Drosophila melanogaster: one gene and its partner. The protein of the gene in region 2 purifies or fractionates together with the protein of the main gene of each other region. This does not show direct contact. Each region holds a gene or a part of one and is shown on either strand. Other genes may lie near its edges.

What was found.
Region 1: the proteins of morgue (region 2) and SkpA purify together in Drosophila melanogaster (affinity purification with western blotting; 3 studies listed by BioGRID, with this or other methods). This does not show direct contact.

Annotation. Positions count from the first base shown.
Region 1 is NC_004354.4:654,346-658,859, forward strand, and holds SkpA (SKP1-related A), read left to right. Parts: upstream 1-1,768; 5' UTR 1,769-2,439; exon of another isoform or gene 2,440-2,753; 5' UTR 2,754-2,764; coding exon 2,765-3,253; 3' UTR 3,254-3,554; downstream 3,555-4,514.
Region 2 is NT_033779.5:4,441,448-4,446,402, forward strand, and holds morgue (modifier of rpr and grim, ubiquitously expressed), read right to left. Parts: upstream 3,234-4,955; 5' UTR 3,161-3,233; coding exon 3,017-3,160; intron 2,955-3,016; coding exon 1,623-2,954; 3' UTR 1,423-1,622; downstream 1-1,422. Other genes in the region: Sfp24F (seminal fluid protein 24F), read right to left, coding at 23-474, 529-604; CG15432 (uncharacterized protein), read left to right, coding at 1,051-1,407; Elp3 (elongator complex protein 3), read left to right, coding at 3,364-3,385, 3,448-3,689, 3,746-4,611, 4,665-4,955.

The DNA.
Region 1 (4,514 bases), on a different chromosome or scaffold from region 2:
AAACGTCCTGCACCCATACATACACACTCTCTCACAGGATTGGATGACTTGCAATAATCCTCAATCCGCAAACCATATGTTCCGGCATTTTGCCAATATATTCGCTCCGTTGAAAATGGCCCTAATTTAGTTTTTATTCCTACGGCTTCGCGTTTGAAAGAGAGAGAGAGAGACCGAGAAAGAGGGGGCTTGTAACTGATGTCGTCGACAGCCATCCCTCTCGCTCGCACTTATTCCAAGCCCTTTTAGCCCATGCACACACACGTTTAACAAAAATCAATTAACTTGAAAGCACATGTAAAAAAAAGTATTGATCCACAAAAAACAAAAGGCACTTCGGTAATCCTGGAATACACACACTTACTGCCGAAAATATTTAAAATGAATGGGTACGCGTATATATTTATATGCTGGTGAACAAAAGGCGAGCATAACAAAAATGTCTTATCGATTTGCATGCGCAGCAGACAGTAATTGCAAATCTTGTATTTTCTTGAGTCTGTGCAACAACTGAAATACCTTTCTGGGCATAAACTATCATAAACACAAGTGGGTGGTGCTGGGAAACATCGCTGGAATTGAATATTTGTTTGTTGGTCGATTTGTTCTGAATGGAAACGAATGTCGTTTGCAAATTGCTCTCTCAGCTGTTTACAAACGCATACCACATAACGCAGGTGAGAGAGAGAGGGAGGCATATGCGCAGTGAGAATGGAAGATGAAGGGTTGCCAAGTGCGCAAAGGCTTGCAAATTAAGTACACTTGTGTGCGGGGTAACCGAAAAACGGGTGTTTACAATAAATTTCGCTGGGTGGATGTAGCTTTGTAATTTGAGTTCGCCAATTTTTTTTGTTGTTAACAGCATTTCGAAGCGGTTGCCAACCCTAGACGCTGGCTGGTTGCATGGTAACGAAAAATGGCGGCGCCTGTTACACACACTCACACACACATGCACGCACAGTCTGCTGTGTTTATGCACTTCATGCTGTTCCGATTTTTTTTTTGCACTTTTTCGATTTGTTGTCTGCATTTACCTTAAATGAATTTATTAACTAAGGCGATATTGTGCCTCTCGCTCAATCTCGCAAAACGATGCTTTGTCTGCTGCTTCTCTGTGCGTGTGTCCGTCTCTTTCCACGGCTTTTCGTCGAGACTCACATATACAAACGGCGACACACTGGATTGGAGCTGGACTCCGTTTTGGATGGCTTGGCTTTGGCTGCGTACCCAAAATAAATCGCGCTTGCAGTCCCAAATCATTTTAGTTCTTGACGCCTTTGTTCCACAAAAACTTCCAACCGCCGTCCATGGCTCGTGCTTTCTCTTTCGCTCGCGAGACGCTCCAAAAGTCGCGAGTATGGGAAGAGAATGTATCCCTCGCTCTTTCACGCCTAGAAGCGGCTGTAGCACACACAAGCACACGTAAACCCAGCCGTATGCATATACATATATTCCCTCTACTAGCGAGACGTGTGTACGTGCGTATGTATGTATGCTTTTTTCACTTCTTTCTCCTCTGCGTTCTTTGCACCAAGTGTCGCTGTTGCTATTTGCTACCGCCGCTCCTCTTGACGAATAAGTCGGGACTTGTATCAGCTCTAATTCGGACTTAGTTTACAAAATGCGGCTGCTTTTTTTCCGCGATACTCGGATTAGTGATGTAAAAAGACGTTGATGCTTCGACCACTGAAGTCAGTGCGATATGTATCGATAATTGAATGCCATCGATTGCTACGATTAAAACTGCCACCGCAGTTAGCGGAGACGCTCACCATTCTCTATTCGCCATTTGAAAGTATCGGTGTAATTTGTTTTCAGAGAAATTAATTTCCGTTTACTGTGCAATTCGGTGTGAAAGTGTTCAGATTTATCAATGCGTATTCTGCTTTCGACTTCGCCACCAATCTGTGCTGCAAGTTACCATTACCAGGTCCACCTGGTTCCCGCCAGTTTTCTTTCATTGTGGCTAGTTGTTGTTCGTGCCTTCGATAAAGACGTTTAGAGGTGTTTTTAGAGTTTCGCCATCTGGTCACTATAGCCGTTTCGTTTTTTACGTGAGTATTGTGAATTTGGTGTGTTGATTTATATCTCAGTTGGAGCCTGCGTGGAAATAGTGTCAGTACGTTTAAAGGCATCATCGTAAGGTTAGTCGGAAAACAAATAAAAAGCCTACAAATAGCAAGCAAGAACGCTTTCGCAACCACAAGAAAAACGAACATACGCACGCATCCATCTGTGGTAGAGTCGGCTTGTGTGGGGGTGAGTGGATGTGTGGGTGAGCATTTCTGGAAAGTGCCGTTCTCTATGTTTCGATTCTACTTATCCCTTCATCACCATTTCATCGTTGAATCATCACGAAAGAAACATCGAAAGTGCACAATCGTTTGTTATCTTTGTACGAAAACAACGGTGATTTCCACACAGGCATAACCTGCAAGAGTAATACGATACAAATTTTGATCTGATATGACCTCATTTTAGTCGGTTTGAATTTTAAAGAGAGCGACTCTGCAAACTGCAGGGATATGAACATACAAAATTCACAAATGATTGTTTGCATCCTAGTTGCTTATATTCATTTACACGCATGCTTATATGCTTACATCTGTTATCAATAATTGACGACTTGGTGCATGCGAAGCAAACGCATTGAAATGACTATTGGGATCCACACACTGTTAAAAAACACACTGATTGCACTGCCACACATTTCTCAACTAGAACCTAATGTTTTATACTGAACTTAACTGCAGGAAAGCCCAAAATGCCCAGCATCAAGTTGCAATCTTCGGATGAGGAGATCTTTGACACGGATATCCAGATCGCCAAGTGCTCCGGCACTATCAAGACCATGCTGGAGGACTGCGGCATGGAGGACGATGAGAATGCCATTGTGCCGTTGCCCAATGTGAATTCGACGATTCTTCGCAAGGTGCTTACCTGGGCTCACTACCACAAGGACGACCCCCAGCCAACGGAGGATGATGAGAGCAAGGAGAAGCGCACAGACGACATTATCTCATGGGATGCAGATTTCCTAAAAGTCGACCAGGGCACACTGTTTGAGCTGATATTGGCAGCGAACTATCTGGACATTAAGGGCCTTCTGGAGCTCACCTGCAAGACTGTTGCAAACATGATTAAGGGAAAGACTCCCGAGGAAATACGCAAGACCTTCAACATTAAGAAGGACTTTTCGCCCGCCGAGGAGGAGCAGGTGCGCAAGGAGAACGAGTGGTGCGAGGAGAAGTAAAGCGCGGCATTTCGCGGGACCAACATTAAGTTGAAACAGCTAGGGGATTCGGGAACGAATTGGATTTGCAGCATTGCAACTTTACTTAGTTGCTACTTTCATTTACATTTTTTTTTATTTTTAACCCCAGCAGAGACTCGATTTAAATTGTGTATAAATGATCTGTTGCTGATTTGATTCGCGGGGTTCATTTTTTGTCGTAAATATATCTCATATACATACATATGCGAGATTGTAACACTCTCTTTAACCTATTGGAGTAACACTTGATTTCACTTTAATAAATATAACTACCCAACACAAAGACACAGCCTATTTTGTGGGCTTCCCGGAGGGGTTAGGGTCCAAGGACTTCTCAAATTAAGAAGTGCTCTTTATTCGTTATCTTGTGTTTAGAAACGTTTGCAAGCGTTTGAAATGGATACGCATGCCATTTATGGTCCAGTCGGTAAAATTTTACGTGTTCCCAAGAAGGTACATATATATCTTAGATTATCTTATCTATAGAAACTACATTCATAAGATCACGCTTTCGGCGAATAGCGAGTAATACTGTAGCTGCCACTTTGCCACTTAGTGTGCAATTGAAATGCGCGCCAACGCATGTTCTCATATGCGGAGCGTTTAGCAGCCCTTAAAAAGCTTTTCATGTTGCTTTTAAAAAGCTACGACGGGTGTGGAAATTAGATTTGTGACGCTTTATATATCTTTTTTTTATATCGTCTGGGGTACAGCATGGTTTTAGGATTTTAGAAGAAAGCAGTAATTTTGTAAGAATCGAAGAACGGGGGGATATTTATAATTTTCATATTAACCTTGTCTTTGTTTGCTTTTGAAATTATGAATACTTCGAAAGATAATTATCTTGTGCGCATTCCATTCTGGCTTAGACTGGGTTGAGCTAAAAATGATTTGAAATACAAATTTTTAGGTGTCCGCTGATATATAAACAGTATGATGTTTTTGCACTTTTTTCCCTGAAGTTTTCCTTGTTGTCTCGCTTGCCAATGCTGAACAAAGTAGCCAAAGGACCTTTACTTGAAGCTTTGAGAGCGGAAAATATATTCGGGGACAATTGCTTTAAGTGTGCACTAGGCTTGGCTAGATGCCCGTGCCAAACTTTCTTTGGAATTGATCGCTGGCCTTAGCCAAAAGTGGAAAAAAGAAAGGATAGGATAGTGCCGCACGTATTAAGGGTCTTCTTACAAAAGGTAACTGATATTAATTCATTTGCATACTAAGCAAGCTAACTCATCTGTTT
Region 2 (4,955 bases):
TCAAGTTGACAATGTTTTATCTTTACGGACATACATTATATTTCGGCTGAACTTCTTCGCAAATAAAAGAACTTTCAAAGTTGCAATTCCGATCGTTCATTCCTGGCGATTTTGTCGGTCTAAAATCACTTCCCAGTTCATCGCAATGCTCCTCATTATTTTTGTTATTTGGTTCTCCCCCGTACCACAAATCCGTTGACAAGGGCTGTCCATTGGAAAACCAAACATGTTTTCCCTTGGTTCCCAAATCCGTTCCGGAGGTCCAATATCTCTCGAAAATGTTATTAGCTAAAAGGTATTCGCTTACCAGGCGCAATTCGTCGAAAGTTTCAAGAGAGATTAATTCCGCTTGTTGTTGTCGACAAATTTCGTAGGCACCAAACCAATTTTTTTGAAGTTTTCGTTCAATGAGATAGTAACTGTTCCCGATCCTAACAAATGTGTCATTAGTTGTCTGAAGCGCCTCAAGAGCTCCTAATTAAATAATCAAAAGTCAATTACTTTATAATATATAAAAACAAAACTCACCGGCAACATTTCTAGAAACCTCAAACAGGAATAGTGCTACCAAAAAGGTAGTAGATCCAGTCAGTTTAACAATCATTGTGGTAATGATAAAAAATCCGGAGTTAGCCGTCAAGGCTCGCTAATTTCGTTAATTTAAGATTTTATTCGCTTATCATCTCAATTACCATGGGTAATACCGTTTAAGTTTTACATTTTGTATTCTAACAGTTGAATGTATGTAATGTCTTGAACAACTATTTTTAGTCTTACAGGACTGTTTTTATTTATATTAGAGGTTTTTAAGTTATTTCTTGTTAGATTAAGGAAACTTACCACAAAAAACAAACAAAAATAACGTATTTTGTAACATTTCAAATGTATTCGATAAAATGCCATCGATATATTTCTGGTCAGGTAATAACATCGAATATCAGAAATTATGTAAAGATAACAACGTGCAGTTGGTGTAAACAAAAACAAGAAAAACGTAAACAGATCGGATTCATTACCAATCCATTTCCAGATTGAAAACCCATTAAAGACATGTCCGACGAGTACGCCTGCGTGGCCAAGGGCAAGCTTAAACTAAAGAACGATTCGGATCTCAAGAAGAAAAAGAAGAAGCACAAGGGCAAGGACAAGGAGAAGGAGCTGCAGAAGGCGTTCGTGGAGCAGCAAATAGCGGAATCGGGGGCCACATCCTCCTCCGCCACCAGTGGCTACGAGCGGAAGCTCACCAAGGCCGAGCTGGCCAGTAAGAAGCAGCAGGAAAAGATGCGCAACAAGCGAATCATGGACAAGGCACAAACCACCCACAAGGAGCGCGTGGAGAAATTCAACGAGCACCTGGACACGCTCACCGAGCACTTTGACATCCCCAAGGTGTCCTGGACGAAGTGAGGCGACGCCGCTCGTAACTTAAAGCATACATTTATTATAAGGTTAAGTAATTTCGACTACGTTTCAACCTGGAGCGCAGGAAAAGTGAGAGGGGAGGCCAAAATAAACAATCCAGATGGCACAACTAAGCTAAATACACAGGCATATGTAGTTACAACGTAAAGAGGGGTAGTTTCCAACTTTCAGTCCATTGTCCTTGGAGGGCTTTTGATCTTCTAGCGCGGTGCAATTAGCTCGTACATGGCGTACTTCCATGTCCACGCGCGCACCAGTTGCTCGAACCTTTCGCGCTCGTGCTCATAGATGTATCCAAGTTCAGGCTCCATGCAGACTTCGGTATACGGATCGGTCAGCAGGCTCTGCACAGAAAGCAGCACCTTGGCCACGTTCAGCGCCAGAGACCAGTTGTGCTGCTGGAAGATGTCGATGCCCACGTCCCCATGCCGCGAAACATTCGGATGCAGGATTTTGGTGAGGAAACGTACTGTGGGCGGCGTCATCGGATATCGCTCCGGGAAGTATATGAACAGGAAGAACTTGCCGCCTTCGTAGGGACTGCCCGGTGGCCCCAGAATTGTCGCCTGCCAGTAGTTGTTTTGCCGATCCAACGGTATGGCCGATATGCCCTCAGATTCGTAGCTGTTCAGCAGATTGGCTTCACCGCGCAGAAAGTTGTTGCGCATTACATTGCCCGGCTCCCGATCGCCCAGCTGTGGATCTGCCTCCTGTGCATCCTGACCCCGACCGCCCATCTCAATCAGGCAAGTGCGACAGAAGCAGGAAGACATCAGTGCCCCGTACAGCCGATACCAGTTTGGATTGTCTGCCAAACTGTCGAACAGCGGCCAGCGCTGCTTGATATACGCCTTCCACATGCTCTGGGCCGTGTTTTTCCCGACAATGTCGTGCCATTGCTTGCAAACTTCACTAGCCATCCACAGCGACATGTCGTCCAAATAGGCAAATATTTTCAGCATCACCTCGACGGGTATTATGTTGACAATGTTTCTGCTGCTGCCACTTGCTCCGCTTCCGCTGGCGGCGTTGTATTCATGCACTCGCGCCCTTCCATCGGCCAGCTCATGCATGTAATGGGGCAGAGCCAAGGGAGCCGTGGCCCGCGGACGCTTAATGGGCAGCAGGAAGGGATTAATGGCTCTCTCGTGCTCAAAGTCGCGCTCCGGAGACTCGCGTCGTGGTGCCGCAGCCTCCGGCACCGGCTGTGGCAGATCTATAACTGGTTGGGCTGGCTGTTGATCCTGTGGCTCCATTGGTGGCTGCGGATTTGGATGTTGTGGCACGGCTGCCGGTTGGGGGTCCTCCAGATCCTCAAAGCCCATGATGTCTACGTCGTTTTCGGTCTCCTCGTCTTCCTGCTTGTCCTTGAACGGCGGCTCGTCGTTCCCAGAATCCTCGTCATCGGAAAGCTCCGTGAGCAGCTCCTCCGCCCGCTGTGCGTTGTACAGGAAGGCGTGGCAGGCGCCGCACAACGGCTCCCCGAAGTTGGGCCCATAGTAGCCGTTGCACACCCAGCAGGTGTTACTATTCTGCAAATTGGAAAGGCTATTTATTAATCGGCCCGCAAGAAACTAGCCTATTGTATACATACCGAAAAAGAGAAGGTCGGCTCTACCAGCTGGTGGTGTTCCTGGTCCGGATCGTCCGGGTCGTCCATCTCGTCGCCACTGCTGGCCAGTTCCTTTAGCAACTGCTCCTGGTCCTTTTGCTGATGCGCTGGCACGCAGCTAGTCATTTTACAGAACTCCCGAGAAACTGGTGCTAAAACAAATAAATAATCGACAAACGATAGACCATCTAAAAGTGTTACCAAGTGGTGTTAGCTTCAAAACCTGTCAAACAGTGTTGTGGTTATCGGACTATTGGTCGGTCGATAACCGAATCAAAACAAGTGCTGCTAACTTCACACGTGCAGTTTATGTGATATTCATCAGCAAAATGAAGGCAAAAAAGAAGTTGGGTAGGTAACGTCGCTACGAAAGTAATTCTTTAAACGTCCGTTTACCCCGCCAATTATTTCAGGCGTGGGATTGAGCCGCCAGGAACGACAGGTGCTCGTCATCGGGGAGATCATTCAGGAGCTGCTGAAGGCGCACGAAGCCAAAAAGGATGTAAACCTTAATCGGATGAAATCATTGGTGGCCTCCAAATATGGACTGGACAGTTCGCCGCGCCTGGTCGACATAATTGCTGCCGTGCCGCAGGACGCCAAAAAAATTCTGCTTCCAAAGCTGAGGGCAAAGCCCATTCGCACAGCAAGTGGCGTAAGTCGCACTTGCTTACACAAGGCGTACTATTCATTTCAATTATTTCAATCCAGATCGCCGTGGTCGCCGTCATGTGCAAGCCGCATCGTTGTCCGCACATCAATATGACCGGCAATATATGCGTCTATTGTCCCGGCGGACCGGACAGCGACTTTGAGTACTCGACACAGTCGTACACAGGCTACGAGCCGACCTCGATGCGAGCCATCCGGTCGCGGTACGATCCTTTTCTTCAGACCCGACACCGCGTTGAACAGCTGAAGCAGCTGGGACACAGTGTGGACAAGGTGGAGTTCATCGTAATGGGCGGTACGTTCATGTGCCTGCCGGAGGAGTACCGCGACTACTTTATCCGCAACCTACACGACGCCCTCTCCGGCCACAGCAGCGCCAATGTGGCGGAAGCCGTACGCTACTCGGAGAAGTCACGCACAAAGTGCATTGGCATCACCATAGAAACAAGGCCAGATTACTGCCTAAAGCGGCACATATCGGATATGCTTAGCTATGGTTGCACCCGGCTGGAAATCGGTGTGCAATCGGTTTACGAAGACGTGGCCAGGGATACGAACCGCGGACACACGGTGCGAGCGGTGTGCGAGAGCTTCCAGCTGGGCAAGGATGCTGGCTATAAGATCGTGACGCACATGATGCCTGATCTTCCCAATGTTGACTTTGAACGCGACATCGAGCAGTTTATCGAGTACTTTGAGAACCCTGCCTTCCGCTCTGACGGCCTAAAGATCTATCCCACGCTCGTCATTCGCGGCACTGGTCTCTACGAGTTATGGAAAACCGGGCGATATAAGTCATATCCGCCATCCATGCTTGTGGACTTAGTGGCGAAGATTTTGGCCCTTGTACCACCATGGACGCGAGTGTACCGCGTACAGCGCGACATTCCCATGCCGCTTGTTAGGTAACTTGTCCGATATATATATTAAATAAACCTGACATTTTTCTTCATTTTAGTTCCGGCGTGGAACACGGAAATCTCCGTGAACTGGCGCTGGCCCGCATGAAGGATCTTGGAACCACTTGCCGCGATGTTAGAACCCGCGAAGTTGGCATTCAGGAAATCCACAACAAGGTGCGCCCTTACGAAATTGAGCTAATTCGTCGGGACTATGTGGCCAATGGCGGCTGGGAAACGTTCCTCTCATACGAAGATCCTGAACAGGACATTCTCGTAGGCCTTCTTAGGCTGCGAAAGTGCTCACCGGATACCTTCCGCCCGGAACTGAAGGGCGAATGCTCCATTGT